Saccharomyces cerevisiae S288C: one gene and its partner. The protein of the gene in region 1 interacts with the protein of each later gene in a biochemical or structural test. Each region holds a gene or a part of one and is shown on either strand. Other genes may lie near its edges.

Region 1 (2,545 bases):
AAGTCTTCATTGACTTCACTAAGGAAAAGGACATTGTCGGTGCTGTTCTAAAGGCCACTGACGGTGGTGCTCACGGTGTCATCAACGTTTCCGTTTCCGAAGCCGCTATTGAAGCTTCTACCAGATACGTTAGAGCTAACGGTACCACCGTTTTGGTCGGTATGCCAGCTGGTGCCAAGTGTTGTTCTGATGTCTTCAACCAAGTCGTCAAGTCCATCTCTATTGTTGGTTCTTACGTCGGTAACAGAGCTGACACCAGAGAAGCTTTGGACTTCTTCGCCAGAGGTTTGGTCAAGTCTCCAATCAAGGTTGTCGGCTTGTCTACCTTGCCAGAAATTTACGAAAAGATGGAAAAGGGTCAAATCGTTGGTAGATACGTTGTTGACACTTCTAAATAAGCGAATTTCTTATGATTTATGATTTTTATTATTAAATAAGTTATAAAAAAAATAAGTGTATACAAATTTTAAAGTGACTCTTAGGTTTTAAAACGAAAATTCTTATTCTTGAGTAACTCTTTCCTGTAGGTCAGGTTGCTTTCTCAGGTATAGCATGAGGTCGCTCTTATTGACCACACCTCTACCGGCATGCCGAGCAAATGCCTGCAAATCGCTCCCCATTTCACCCAATTGTAGATATGCTAACTCCAGCAATGAGTTGATGAATCTCGGTGTGTATTTTATGTCCTCAGAGGACAACACCTGTTGTAATCGTTCTTCCACACGGATCCACAGCCTAGCCTTCAGTTGGGCTCTATCTTCATCGTCATTCATTGCATCTACTAGCCCCTTACCTGAGCTTCAAGACGTTATATCGCTTTTATGTATCATGATCTTATCTTGAGATATGAATACATAAATATATTTACTCAAGTGTATACGTGCATGCTTTTTTTACGGCAGCATTTTTTTTTCAACTCTGATCGCCCCTTTACTGCTCCCTCCGCCCAAATTCCATTGCAGTTCAAATGTATACTGAAAAAAACCCCATTGCTATTGTTAAACAGTGAACTCTCTTTTTGCCCAATAATAACATTATAACAAGTAACTACCAGCACCATAACACCGTGTCCTATCCTGGTATTAATTACTACTTGAAGAACGACTACATCGCTTTTTGCAACTACAATTAGAACGCTCCGCCCCTTCCTTTTGACGTCGTATAAGTGTAGTTGGATTGCAATTGCATAGATACAGGAATTAGTTCAAGCCATTCCTAACGAGGAAACGATACATTCTAGCAAATCTACGCTTTTCTGACTTTAGAAGAGCAAGCCAATAAAAAGCCGGAGAAAATAGAAAGGTAATAATGAATCAGTTGACAGTGAGTTATGGCCTAATTTCCCCAGATTACTGCACTTCCCAAGATGCGCACATCTTACCGATAACAAAGATTCTGTACCCGGATATACCTGGTAAAAACTATTTTCTTACTTCAGGAAGGGATGGTTCCATAATTTTGCACAAGAACACACAGCTCTCGAACGAGCCTGAGACTGCTGCAACTACCATAAAAAACGATGCGATAAGAATGCAAGTTCATAGCGATTGGGCAAGCGATCTAATACATGTTAATATGAAAAATTCAGACCCATCTGCAGGGGACACATTCATATCAGTAAGTCACGATTTTTCGATAGTATTAATTAGTGTGAATGCGCAGTTAACTACCTGGGATAAGAAAATAATCGGTGACCACGACGATTATATCAAGTGCATAGTGCCCATACATTATGAAATGTCAAATGACTATGAATTGGAAGAACAAGAGGGTGGTCCTGATAATGTACACGATGGAATAAATAATGGCATTGTTGTTGATGAACAGAACAACTTTCTTTTTGTGACAGGTGGTCTAGATAGAAAAATCAAACTTTGGTGCCTGAGCAGCGGGCCAGAAAAAATGGCTACGCTACTACACACATTTGATAATGCACAATCAAACGACACAGGCTCAATATACTCCATGAGTCCCATCATCCCAAAATACAGTTTTGATGACAATCAAACGTCTCGTCCCTTTGATTTTGTTGCCGGAGACTGTAATGGTGATTTGATTTTTTATTCGTGTAAATATCGTAAGGAGGTGATAAGAATTCAAAACGCCCACAGAACAAATATAAAAGTAGTAAGAACTCTTGATGACTCCACACGACTAATCAGTACCAGCTCAGATGGTGTAATAAATGTATGGGACTTGAATTGTAGGCATGATCAGACTACTGGTGCCCTTCAGCTTCCCAAAAAAATTGGATCTTGGTCCTGGGATTCTTCCATATGGTGTGTCCAAGGAACGAGCCTTGATAAGTTGTATTTTGGTGACTCTCAGGGCAATGTTATGAGAGCAAACTTATCCAGTTATGAAGATGCTAAACTTACAAGAATTTTCAAGCCTGATCATCACCACCATCATCATCATCACCATGAACACGAAGAGCAAAATATATCAACTACAGATGCGAAAGTAAAAAAATATGGTGGTATCCTTGATATTGCCCTTTTACCTAATGAAAAATTGTTGTTTTCTTTTTGTACTGACTCAAATC
Region 2 (6,013 bases), 100 kb from region 1:
AGTCGAGCTTCGGAGGAGGTCTTAGTGTCCACTCCAAATGACACAGAACACGTCTACAGAAAGACATCTCTAGGTTCTAAGATAAAGAGAGGTTTTACTAGAATATTGAGCGACAGTAATAATAGTAAGGAAATTCTCACTTTATCACCCAAATCTATGGTGACTACGGGGCCTACAGAATTGTCGTTTTCCTCTTTATCAACCGTGGGAGGACATCCGACAACGCCAGTCTCAAAAGAAAATGATCGAGTTTCAATAGATGGCGTGAGTACATTTAATCGAGCATCAACATCTCTTCCAGAATCATCAACAGACGACATCTCTCCACTACGCGAAGAAGGTAAGATTAATGTTCCTAAAAGAACGTCAAGTAGAAAGATACTGTCTAAAAATTCAAGCAAAAAAAATGTACTGCCTGAACAGCAAACAAAGCCAAGTGAAATATATCTGGATAAAGAAGCCTTACAAAGTTTTGTTCCCGTACTCTCTGTCACAGAGGGTACTCATCGCATCAATCGCTCGTCGTTACAAACGCAATCTACCATCGGATTATGCATTACCAATTTAAGAAACAAAGAAGGCATGAAGCTCAATGCCAAGGAATACGTGGAAATCCTGGCTCAGCAGCAACGCAAGGAAGATGAAAGGTATGCTGTTTTGGAAAGAAAATTTGCATCTTGTAGATGGTGCAGTGATAAGGACCTGCAGTATTTGAAAAAGAAACGAATTTCCATGAATAAGATATGGTCTGATTATGTCCGATTTTACCGTGGAAAGTTGAACAACCCATGAAGGAAAAAGGTCTTGGCTATATATAACGGCAGACAAAATATAAGTATACACGTATATATGGTGGTAAACACGCATATACTGTATGCCATGTATTTACCATTACATAGTTATTTACGCACTCTATAAAAAGTTAACATTGCATTTTAATAAATTCCTTAAATTACTCTAATTAGGATGGTAGCCCTACCTTTTTTTTTTTTGGCACACATGGTCAACTTTTCTTCTCATGCTTTAAAAGGCGAGAAAAAATGAAAATTAGCAAAATGACCTTTCCCTCCTTCCCACATTGAATATATACACTGGAAGATATAAGCAACCAGTACTGTAGATAAAAAAGATCACTACGATATTCGTCGGACTCCAGTCGGAGTGCAGTGCCCGATTACTCTTAATTGCACGCATCGTGCCAAGTTTAATTGGTATTGCTCGAACATCTAGGAATAAGAGAAGGACTTACTTTAGAATGATGAAAGAGGTAGCAATTTGCAGCAGATTTTTCGTGATTGAATCAAACAAAGATTAACCTTTACAGAACCGCTACACTGATACTAATGTAAGAAACATTTCCTTTATTTTTTTTCTAGCCCGTAGTGTACTCTTATAGTTTTGATATTTCCTTTCTATCTTTGTAAATGTAAATAATCACATTTGTCTGACAACACACTTGTTGCCACTAATTATTTCAACAAGCTGGCATAGCTGATCTTATTAATCTTGTAGACCGTTCAGGATGACTGGGCTATATTATGGCGTTAACTTTCGCGTTGGATTACCTTTTTATGCGATGACAAGATGCCGATAATAGGTATTTACTTTCACAAGTACGTGTACGCAATTCTAAAGGAAGTATATCAAATAAAAGGGCGTGGTACATAAAAGCTATATCCCTAGCATGACCAGTCTAATAGATTTGGGCAGATATGTTGAAAGAACGCATCATGGAGAAGATACAGAGCCAAGATCGAAAAGGGTAAAAATCGCAAAACCTGACTTGTCTTCCTTCCAACCAGGCAGCATTATTAAGATCCGTTTACAGGATTTTGTTACTTACACTTTAACCGAATTCAATCTTTCACCGTCTTTAAATATGATCATTGGGCCAAACGGATCTGGAAAATCTACTTTCGTATGCGCAGTGTGTTTAGGATTGGCTGGTAAACCCGAGTATATTGGTAGGAGTAAAAAAGTGGAAGATTTCATCAAAAATGGTCAAGATGTTTCAAAAATTGAAATCACCTTGAAAAATTCACCAAATGTTACTGATATTGAATACATAGACGCACGTGATGAAACAATAAAGATTACCAGGATTATTACGAGATCCAAGAGGAGATCGGATTATCTAATAAATGACTACCAGGTATCTGAGAGTGTAGTTAAAACTTTAGTTGCTCAGCTGAACATTCAGTTGGATAATCTTTGTCAATTTTTATCTCAAGAGCGTGTTGAGGAGTTTGCTCGCTTGAAGTCAGTTAAATTATTAGTAGAGACTATAAGGTCAATCGATGCAAGCTTATTGGATGTGTTGGATGAACTAAGGGAATTACAAGGAAATGAGCAAAGCTTGCAAAAAGATCTCGATTTTAAAAAAGCTAAAATTGTTCATTTGAGACAAGAAAGTGATAAACTACGTAAATCAGTTGAATCTTTACGAGATTTTCAAAATAAGAAGGGTGAAATCGAGTTACACTCCCAACTATTACCTTATGTGAAAGTAAAGGACCATAAAGAAAAGCTAAACATATATAAAGAAGAATACGAACGAGCGAAAGCGAACTTAAGGGCTATACTGAAGGATAAAAAACCATTTGCAAATACTAAGAAGACTTTGGAAAATCAGGTGGAAGAGTTAACAGAGAAGTGTTCCCTAAAAACTGATGAGTTCCTGAAAGCAAAAGAAAAGATCAACGAAATCTTCGAAAAATTAAATACTATTAGGGATGAGGTCATCAAAAAGAAAAACCAGAACGAATATTATAGAGGAAGAACCAAAAAACTACAGGCCACCATTATTAGTACAAAGGAAGATTTTCTAAGGAGTCAGGAAATATTAGCACAAACACATCTTCCTGAGAAAAGCGTATTTGAAGATATAGACATTAAAAGAAAGGAAATTATTAATAAAGAAGGCGAAATTAGGGATCTTATTTCCGAAATTGATGCGAAGGCGAACGCTATTAATCATGAGATGAGAAGCATACAGAGACAAGCTGAAAGCAAGACCAAATCCCTTACAACAACTGATAAAATCGGTATCTTAAATCAGGACCAGGATTTAAAGGAGGTCCGTGATGCTGTGTTGATGGTTAGAGAGCATCCAGAAATGAAAGATAAAATTCTAGAACCGCCAATAATGACCGTGTCTGCCATTAACGCTCAATTTGCTGCATATTTAGCACAATGTGTGGATTATAATACGAGTAAAGCCTTGACTGTTGTTGATTCTGATTCTTACAAGCTATTTGCAAATCCAATTCTTGACAAATTCAAGGTTAATTTGAGAGAACTCTCCAGTGCAGACACCACCCCTCCTGTACCAGCGGAAACGGTGAGGGACCTGGGATTTGAGGGTTATCTATCCGATTTTATTACCGGTGATAAGAGGGTTATGAAAATGCTTTGTCAAACTAGCAAAATTCATACTATACCGGTATCAAGAAGGGAATTGACGCCTGCTCAGATAAAGAAGTTGATTACACCAAGACCGAATGGGAAAATTCTTTTTAAAAGGATTATTCATGGGAATAGGTTAGTCGATATCAAGCAATCAGCATATGGTAGTAAGCAGGTCTTTCCTACTGACGTTAGTATTAAACAAACTAATTTTTATCAGGGATCAATCATGTCAAATGAGCAGAAAATTAGAATTGAAAATGAAATTATCAACTTAAAGAATGAATACAACGATCGAAAATCTACGTTAGATGCATTGTCAAACCAGAAAAGTGGTTATAGGCACGAATTATCTGAGTTGGCGTCAAAAAACGACGATATTAATAGGGAAGCTCATCAATTAAATGAGATTCGCAAGAAGTACACTATGAGAAAAAGTACAATAGAGACTTTAAGAGAGAAATTAGATCAACTGAAACGTGAAGCTAGAAAGGACGTATCTCAAAAGATTAAAGATATTGATGATCAGATCCAACAACTATTACTCAAGCAAAGACATTTGCTGTCTAAAATGGCCTCTTCAATGAAGAGTTTAAAGAATTGTCAGAAGGAGTTAATAAGTACTCAAATCCTTCAATTTGAAGCCCAAAATATGGATGTTTCTATGAATGACGTAATTGGTTTTTTCAATGAGAGGGAAGCTGATTTGAAGAGCCAATATGAAGACAAGAAAAAGTTCGTAAAAGAAATGAGAGACACTCCTGAATTTCAATCATGGATGAGAGAAATCAGGTCTTATGACCAAGACACTAAGGAAAAATTGAATAAAGTGGCAGAAAAATACGAGGAGGAAGGGAATTTCAATCTGTCATTCGTTCAGGATGTTCTCGATAAATTAGAATCGGAGATAGCTATGGTAAACCACGACGAGTCAGCCGTAACAATTTTGGATCAAGTCACAGCCGAACTGAGAGAGTTGGAGCACACGGTTCCTCAGCAGTCGAAAGACTTGGAGACCATTAAAGCTAAATTAAAAGAAGATCACGCAGTTTTGGAGCCCAAATTAGATGATATTGTATCAAAAATCTCTGCAAGATTTGCGCGCTTATTCAACAATGTTGGGAGTGCTGGTGCGGTTCGTCTAGAAAAGCCGAAGGACTATGCTGAATGGAAGATAGAAATCATGGTAAAATTCAGAGATAATGCACCTTTAAAAAAGTTAGATTCCCACACGCAATCAGGTGGTGAAAGAGCTGTTTCTACAGTTCTTTACATGATTGCTTTGCAAGAGTTTACCTCTGCACCATTTAGAGTGGTTGATGAAATCAATCAAGGTATGGACTCTAGAAATGAAAGGATCGTTCATAAAGCTATGGTGGAGAACGCGTGTGCCGAAAACACTTCTCAATATTTTTTAATCACTCCAAAATTATTGACTGGCTTGCATTATCATGAAAAGATGAGAATACACTGTGTCATGGCTGGTTCTTGGATTCCAAACCCTTCTGAGGATCCGAAGATGATACATTTCGGTGAAACTTCTAACTACTCATTCGATTAATCTTTCACTATTGCATAATTAATTATACACATATAGATGTAAACATGTTTATAACCAAGACGTTTGGTCTCATCTAGCAAAAATGTCTTCTAGTGTCAGCTGTCTTACCTCACAAATGTAAGGCTTCACCAAATAAAGAACTAATTAAATAGAACGCGCTTAAGAAAAGCTGCAATAATTAATTTCTTATATTAAATTCGAGGCACCAAAGCAAGCAACCGCTACATGACAAAAATCTAATCTGGTACAGAAGAACTATAAAATAACAATATGATCATGTTGAGAATACCGACACGGTCTTATTGTTCACCTTCGAAGCTAATAAAGGGCGTAGGTCTCTCACCATTGAAGAAATCTCTGTTATCCAAGAAAATAAAGGAAGATATCCATCCTTCTTTACCTGTTAGAACTAGGTTTGCGCCTTCTCCAACTGGGTTTTTACACTTGGGGTCACTGAGAACAGCCCTTTACAATTACCTATTAGCAAGAAACACCAATGGGCAGTTTTTGCTTCGTTTAGAAGATACAGACCAGAAGAGGCTAATAGAGGGAGCAGAAGAAAACATCTACGAGATTCTGAAATGGTGTAACATAAACTACGATGAAACCCCTATAAAGCAAAGTGAAAGGAAACTAATATATGACAAATATGTAAAAATATTACTATCTTCTGGGAAGGCGTATAGATGTTTTTGTTCAAAGGAGCGATTGAACGATTTGAGACACTCTGCAATGGAATTGAAACCTCCTTCGATGGCAAGCTATGATCGATGTTGTGCACACTTAGGGGAGGAAGAAATAAAATCTAAGCTAGCGCAAGGTATACCTTTCACTGTGCGGTTTAAATCGCCAGAACGATATCCAACGTTTACTGATCTTTTACATGGACAAATAAATCTTCAACCGCAAGTAAACTTTAACGATAAACGGTACGATGACCTTATCCTTGTTAAGTCGGATAAGTTGCCAACCTATCATCTGGCAAATGTTGTGGATGACCATTTGATGGGAATAACCCATGTTATAAGAGGTGAGGAATGGCTGCCC

What was found.
Region 2: the proteins of MHF1 (region 1) and SMC5 form a complex in vitro, tested with the Saccharomyces cerevisiae proteins (one study listed by BioGRID).

Annotation. Positions count from the first base shown.
Region 1 is NC_001147.6:157,401-159,945, reverse strand, and holds MHF1 (Mhf1p), read right to left. Parts: upstream 774-2,545; coding exon 501-773; downstream 1-500. Other genes in the region: alcohol dehydrogenase ADH1, read left to right, coding at 1-398; DUF1 (Duf1p), read left to right, coding at 1,309-2,545. UniProt on the Saccharomyces cerevisiae protein: dsDNA-binding component of a FANCM-MHF complex involved in DNA damage repair and genome maintenance. FANCM-MHF promotes gene conversion at blocked replication forks, probably by reversal of the stalled fork.
Region 2 is NC_001147.6:258,239-264,251, forward strand, and holds SMC5 (DNA repair ATPase SMC5), read left to right. Parts: upstream 1-1,684; coding exon 1,685-4,966; downstream 4,967-6,013. Other genes in the region: YOL036W (uncharacterized protein), read left to right, coding at 1-792; glutamate--tRNA ligase MSE1, read left to right, coding at 5,237-6,013.